2 linked regions of the Oreochromis niloticus genome follow. The protein of the gene in region 1 interacts with the protein of each later gene in a pairwise test. Links are inferred from orthologs where the notes say so. Each region holds a gene or a part of one and is shown on either strand. Other genes may lie near its edges.

Evidence for each region. The genes of interacting proteins can lie anywhere in the genome.
Region 2: the proteins of plxnb3 (region 1) and arhgef11 interact in a two-hybrid assay, tested with the Homo sapiens proteins (2 studies listed by BioGRID and IntAct). The link is inferred for Oreochromis niloticus from reciprocal best matches to the Homo sapiens genes PLXNB3 and ARHGEF11.

Annotation. Positions count from the first base shown.
Region 1 is NC_031984.2:5,163,019-5,166,773, forward strand, and holds the start of plxnb3 (plexin-B1), read left to right. Parts: upstream 1-737; 5' UTR 738-889; intron 890-3,755. UniProt on the Homo sapiens protein: Receptor for SEMA5A that plays a role in axon guidance, invasive growth and cell migration. Stimulates neurite outgrowth and mediates Ca(2+)/Mg(2+)-dependent cell aggregation.
Region 2 is NC_031967.2:26,816,801-26,820,555, reverse strand, and holds the start of arhgef11 (rho guanine nucleotide exchange factor 11), read left to right. Parts: upstream 1-892; 5' UTR 893-2,621; coding exon 2,622-2,656; intron 2,657-3,103; coding exon 3,104-3,136; intron 3,137-3,755. UniProt on the Homo sapiens protein: May play a role in the regulation of RhoA GTPase by guanine nucleotide-binding alpha-12 (GNA12) and alpha-13 (GNA13). Acts as guanine nucleotide exchange factor (GEF) for RhoA GTPase and may act as GTPase-activating protein (GAP) for GNA12 and GNA13.

The DNA.
Region 1 (3,755 bases):
ATGTCATTAGCTTCTGATTACTGAGCGAGTATGTGCATGCCGTCGCTGGAAACGATGCCGGGCTTATTTAAAAGGAACTCATTCAACAGAAATACGCGCTAACATGCCTGTGAGACTCAGCTGCGTTCCGGACCTTTAACCCCTGCCAGCCCGTGGTTTAAAAGCACTCCTACCTCTGCCCAGTTTCACCAGTTTAATCCCCGTTGGCTTTTCACATTAAGAGTTTCGCTAATAAAACACATGTAGTCCACTGTGGTTTAGAAAACTGTACTGGTGGTTTACGGAGACTCTGACTATTTAACCACATGACTATTTAAATAAACGTCACACGGATACAAACTGTAGCATCATATTCGAGAATTTACTGTTAGGGATGCGTCTGTACTATACTAACTACACGTTTACTTGTTAGTACTGTTAATAGAACAAAAGTATCTGGATACATCCTCATCCGCTAAAAACCCCACATTGTAATATTAATAATAAGACTTTACGGGTCAGGTTATTTAAACGTGGATTTAATTGGCCCATCTTAAGTATCAGAGGTAAAAGTCGCCTATTTTATTCATATAACTTTTTTTTTCTCATATTAAACCCATGCATGAAGTATTTCACTTTCAGAGGATCAATAATCTGACTGACACTGAGTGTTGACTGGACAGATGGGATCGATAGCTTTTAATTATTAAAACCTCTGGATTTCTAAGCCAGGCTTCGCGGTGGGTTTTAGGCTGTGGACCTTGGAGCGCAGCGGGGCGGGGTCTCTGTCAAACCTGTTGTGCGTCTCTCCGCGCGGACTGTGCGGATCCGGGTGTCTGCTGGGGTCTTTTGGAAGTTTCTCGGGCTACTCTGACGCTGGGAGGACGGCACAGCAGCCTGGCGAGCTCAGGTGAGTCGGACCCGGACCTCATCGGCCCCCCTTGTCACGGCTCTGAGTTGTCCCGCTGCTGCAGGAAGGAAAAGGCGTGAGAGTCAGGCGTGTCTGCCTGACACACGCCAGACTCCATTCGGGAATGTAGTAGTTTTAGATGTTGCCGGTTTTCCGTTAGGCTTTGTAGCTGAGAGAGGCAGCTGCCGATGGTTTTAGAACCGGGAGGAGATGCTCTTTGACTCCGCTCAGAAACATTGATAATATGACCAGCACCAGGTCATGTTCCCCGGGTTAAATTTACAGAGCCGTGAAATATAGAGCGGCTCAGACTCTGGACTGGGAGTTTAAAAGTGGACATTCCTGTCACGGGGTCTGGCCGGCGGTCTGAGTGAAGCCGGTTTAAGAGTAGGAGTGATAAATGTGGTGCTAGGTTCAGTTTGTAAGTCTGCCTCCTCACTGAGTGCTTCTGTGTGTGTCCGTGTCGGCCGTTTCCAGCCTGCCCTGGCACGGCATGGCACGGCACGGCCGCAGCAGCCACTGAATAGCTGGCATTCCAACAGACACACACACTCTCACACTCTGTGCTGCTGTTATGGCTGGAGTGAGTTTAGAAGTCACCTTTGCAGACTTGCATAAGGGAAGTGAGCATCACGAATAACATAAACAAAAAACAATACAGACCCCCCCGCCCCCTCCCTCCAACCATCCCCTCCCTCCCCATCCTCCCCTCTCCTCCCCCTCTCCTCCTCCTACACAAACACACAGAAAGTTGCTGGACCTGCTCTTTGTTCCAGTTTGAATTAATGTGGTCAGTTTTTCTAGGGAAACTGGGCAGGGCCGCTGATATTTTCTGTTTGGGCCCTCAGGGCCCCTTAAGCTCCTGGATACCACATGACTCCAGGCTGATGCAGATCTGCTGGTCCTGATTCAGTTTTTAAAGTTGCACTGTGTTACCCTTCCACAGATCCCGCTCAGGCTTTAACTGCTGCTTTGTTGGTGTATCAGACTTCCTGTCTGTGGTTGCAGCATGTTGGCTCCTGCTGAATGTAGCCTATAGAACAGTAAAGTTGTTGGGACTCCTTCCAGAGGCAGAAGTGGCGCTCTGGTTTAATTTGCAGTGACAATCCGGTTGATGGTGCTGAAGGAGATTATCGGTCTGAGTCTGTGGTTTGCTGACAAAGTGGGAAAAAGAGCAGAATGCTCCTTTATTTTGTAATTTTTATGAACAGCTGAATGTTTTTTGTTCAAACTCTTGATGTTCTGCATGAAGGTTTGAATGACTGAACACAATACATGGAAAAGTGGGGAAAATGGTTTGTTCAGATACTTAGTTCCTGCTTTTAAAGACAGAAAGAAACTGTGTTTAAATCTGGATTCCAGTGCTCAGTTAACCTGCTTCAGTTTACCCACTCTTCTTCCAGACATCTTGCTATCGTGGGAATGTTTCCAGTCACTTAAGCTCACCAGCCACTTTATTAGGTACACCTGTTCAATTGCTTGTTAGCACAAATATCTAATGGGGCAACCACATGGCAGCAGCTCAATGCATTTAGGCATGTAGACCTCGTCAAGCTGACCTACTCATCAGAATGAGGAAGAACAGTGATGGCTGTTGGTGTCAGAGGGTCTATCCGAGTATTTCAGAAAATGATCATCTGCTGGGATTTTCCCAAACATGCATCTCCAGGCTTTACAGAAAATGGTCTGTAAAAGGGAAAATACCCTGTGGGCTGCATCTCTCTGCGTTAAAATGATGTGTTGACAGGCTGCTTTGAGGCGATAAGAAAGCGGCGGTTACTTAAATAACCACCCATTGCTGCCAAGGTATGCAGAAGAGCATCTCTGAACGGCCAACACGTTGAACCTTGAAGCAGGGTTACAGAAGCAGAAGACCGCACTGGGTCGACAGAAAACTGAGGCTGCAGCTCCCTCAGGCTCACCAAAACTGGGCAGGAGAAGTCTGGAAAGAGTCTGGTCAGTCTCAATTTCTGCTGCATCATTCACATGATGGGGACAGACTTTAAACAGCATGAAAGCATGAATCCATCCTGCTTTGTATGAACAGTTCAGGCTGCTGGTGCTGAAATGGTGTGGAGCATATTTTCTTTGCACACTTTGGGCACCTTAGTACCGACCGAGCATCTTTTAACCATCACAGCCTGCCTGAGTGTTGTTACTGAGCATGTCCATACCTTTCTGACCTCAGTGTACCCATCCTCTGATGGCTGCTGCCAATTTTTAATGGTCACCAGGACATGAAAGCTGCAGCTGAAATATAAAAGAATCTGCCTAAAAAGTTAGACTTTTCCTCAACATTAAGTTTTAAAAACCTTCCTTTTCCTCTCAGAAGATTTACTCGTACCTCCATCTGTGCTGCTTTTCATTTGAACACCACGTCCTTCTTATAATTCTGGTTTAAATGATTTTCCCGTTGGATTTCTAATTGTACACACTCCAGGTTTCATTTATACAAAACCTCGTTCTTTTAGAGAAAAACAGAAAAAAAAATTCACAGAGACTTTGAAAAAAATCCAAACATGAATTTTGATTATCAATTAAATTATTTCAGTTTAACTCACAAGTAAAACTATGTTATTCCTCCACCTCCTTTCTTTTAAAAGAACAGGAGCTGCCCACATGCTGCATAAGTAAGACCATAAGATTATAATACAACAACAAAAAGAATCAAATGCATAAAAACAGTCCAAATAATGAAAGAAATATCATAACCAATGTTTAATAATCTTGATAATTTACAGTAAAGGTGATTCACACGTAGATGAAATAAATAGAAACGGATGAAAATCAATTAACAGATTTAAAATAGAGGCGGTGTGGTCAAAGTTTATTGAAAATAAAATGAAGGTTTCGCCGCTGGCAGTGA
Region 2 (3,755 bases), on another chromosome or scaffold:
AAACAACCAGACATCTGTACAGTTTCTTTCCATAGGCCACACTCTGATGAACACTTAGGTCACTCACATATTGTCTACTACTAAAATATCCAGCGTGCCTGCTACTGAACCAAAGCATGCTGTATTGTTTTGTTTCTAACTTAGCTATGTAAAAAACCAGTGTGCACATATACTCAACCAATAAAGGTGATTCTGATTTTGAGTTGAATCAGATTTCTGGTTATTATGTCAACATTTTTATTTCGATTGGCTCAGTATTTAGACTTACTGTCTTGAAATTTCAAGTAACTTCTAAATAAGTCAAAATTTAAAGATACAGTTTTTTTGGACACAATAATCTGACATTTTAATATGATAGCTCAGAATTTTGAGTTATTATGTTAGAAATTGAAGAAACATCTGAGTAACATTTAAAGAGCTTTCTTTTACATAATAACTCAACATTTTGAAATAGTATGTCAAACATTCGAGTTAGTTATCTCAAAATTTCAAGTTACCTAACTCAAAATTTTGAGTTACTAAGTGAGTGGTAATGGTAATTTGGAGTTATTAACTAATTTTGTGATATGAACCCAATACTTTGACTTGCTCATATGAAAAAAAAATCTTCATAGAAAGAAATATAAGAAAATATTTAAAAATATATTTTCCATAATTTTTTAATAAGATGCTATTAATTCTTTATGGAAATATGTTTCATAAAAAATCTGTGGCAAAAACAAGCTGGAGTGTTTGTGACACAGATTGATGGAAAAATAAATATTTATGTCAATGATTTAAAAATATATTTTTATAAAAAAAAAAAAATCTTTCCATGAACGGATGCAATTCCAACTTATCCTGTCTGGTTACAGTCCGGTTGTAGTACGCAACCCTGACCAAACGAGGGCGCTGTTTACGCTCTGTGTGCTCTGTCTACGTCGTGTGATCCTTGAGGATATGGTGGTGGATCAGGAGCCAGTCAAGACAGCAAGATAACAGCACAACATACAGCTCTATGTGAAGGACTTTGACTGGAGAGGAGATAAACATATACCACGACGATTAGGAATTAAATCCGGGTTCTTGTGGCAGATCACGAGAGAAGAGCAGATCCTGCTGTATCCGCTGTGTTTTTGGAAAGGAGACCTGAGGTGGAGCTCTTACTGGAATCGCTTTGCCTTTTGGCTAGCTAGCTAATATGCAACTCTGCGTGTGAATTTGCATGAAAACAAGACTGGTGGATATAACAACCCGGGCCTTGCATGGACTCCAGTTTCCCCTCTTACTGTGATATCCACCTGCTCGCATGCAGCTAAAGTCATGCTGGTCTTTCGTCTTGCAGACATAGCCGGTTAGCAGACTAGCTCGGAGGCTCGGCAGGTGAAAGCCGGGCACGCAGCGCTTCGGTTCGCCGTGAGATATAACGCCATGCCGCAGGTTGAAAGAGGCCGATTCGTCGAGCTGACTTCACCGAGCTAACGCTAGCTGGAATTAGCAGGCCTCTTTACGAACCTGTTATCATCTCCAAGTCAGCTAATTGCTAAAAGCCACAGGTGAAAGGCGAGGAGCACCTTTCGCTTTCTTTCTTTGCTGTGCTTATTTGATTATAAGCTCCAACTGCAGGGTTAGCCAATGCCAAGTAATCTGCTAATTGGCTAGCTCTTTAGTTAGACAGTAGCGTTATTGCAAAGCCATTTGTAGCGACTGGTTTTGTTGTTGTTTACACTGTTAAGAAAAACAGACTGTTTTCTGTAGCTTACAGCTAGCTCGGAGGAGTGATAATGCTGTTTGTAAACGTATATATATTTTTGCTTAACTAATGCATGCTGTTGATACTTGTGTATTGAGTAATTTGCACTAGATAGCCACATACACATCACTACAGATCATATTATATTCACTTTGTGGTGGCTTTCCTATTTTTAAGCATTATCAGCAAGCTGAATGAGCAGTGCTGATTTGAATGGGATTATTTAGGCTGGGATCTCTGCTGAAGCCTCCACATGTAAACAAGTCTGAGTCAAGTGAGTGTCAGGTTCGCATTAGTATTTCTTTTAATTGCACGTAATCAACGAATATCCAGTTAATCCTCTGAATATTATGTTTAGGCAGTTGCTTTAAATCTGACACAGACACTTAAAAAAAACAAAAAACAACAACAAAAAAACCCCAACATGGGATGTTGTTGACCTCCTGGAGCATAGCCAGACATATCAGCCCATTCATTCATGATTGATGACCTTTGTGGAAGTAGGTTGTCCTTTATCCATTTGCCACTACTGCGAAATCTCAGCACCAAGCTACCAACGATCTGTATTTAATTTTAACCACTAATGTAAAGGAGTGAAGACAAACCTTGGGAGATTTGAGCGTTTATAGTTTTAGCAGCACTTTCCTTTAAATCCTACTGAGCCTAAAACTGGAGCCACTGGTGTGAAACATGAAGAGCACTGTGTCTGATCTAAACCCGCAGCCCTGTAGCGTGGAGATCTGATCAAAGCGCAACAGAAAGGCTCCTCATTGTACGGACTGAAAGTTGAAGAGGAAACGGAGATCATGGTGGTGATAACAAAAGCAGCCCAGTGACAGCTTTGAATCCCGCACCAGGAAGCAGAGGAGTGTCTATAAAGGCTGCAGACATGAGTCTCCGCCAACCCACCTCCACGCTGGACAGGTAGGAGCCTCACATCCGCTACACCCAGACAGTTTATGTGGGTAAAGGTACGGCTCTTTACGCCTCGCTCCAAAAAATGTGGTATTCCCAGGTGAGCATTGTTTTTATCTGACGGATGCTCAGTGAGGCCACTGGAAGAACAGCTCAGACGGCTTGTTGACTTCAGAAAAAAAGCAAAAGATTGCACAATAATGTTCATTTATGTCATTCAATCTGCATCTCCTCTAATAAAACACTGGATGTAGTGCACCTGTCTTGTTTGTTAATACCGTTCGTCACCACTTTCACCATATATCCCTGCACTGTGCGATCGTCTGTGTGATGCATATTTGTTGTTTATCATGTGTCTTTCCTCTTTCTCCTGCTGTATACTTTTTTTTCCCCCCCCATTTGCACGTGCCCATTACCTCCCACTGCTGTGTCTCTGTGTGTGTCATGTGACGGCAGGGCAGCCAATAAGACAGACAACCAACTGTTCAGGTAGGACAGCTGCCCTGTGGTCACTCATGTCAGGGTTTGGGGGTTAGTGAAGCCTACAGATTGTACAGCTGTGGCAGCAGATTTCTCAGCGTTTCGCTGCTTGTTGTTTCATTTCTTTGGAGACGTTAGGAACCCAACATACAAGAAAAAAAATTAATAAAAAAAATTTTGTGACCTCGTTACGTGCACCTGCTGGGGTGCATGACCCATACACGAACACTTAATTTTAAGTGATAAAGAAGCTCTTTGAAATCTTTACCTAAAATACTGCAGGTTTGTCAAAGTGGCTTCTGTACCACACTGGAAGTATAGCTCTGTGCTATGCCTATGTCATAACAGCTAACCCTAATGATACCCCTCAATCTAACCTACAGCTCCAATGTTCATGACCCTGGGAATATAACTACATGTCACCATCGACAGGTTTAAATGCTGGCAATGGTGTAGGCTATGTTGTAGGTGCTATGTATGTTAATTGCAGAAGTCTCAATCAAACATCAGAAATTGAGAGGGTTCCTACTCCTAATGTGTCAAGTGTGGAGCGAACTTGAATAACTGGGTAGCTATAAAGCCTTGATTATACTCAGACAGCTGGAGACACCACAGCTGAATATAATTT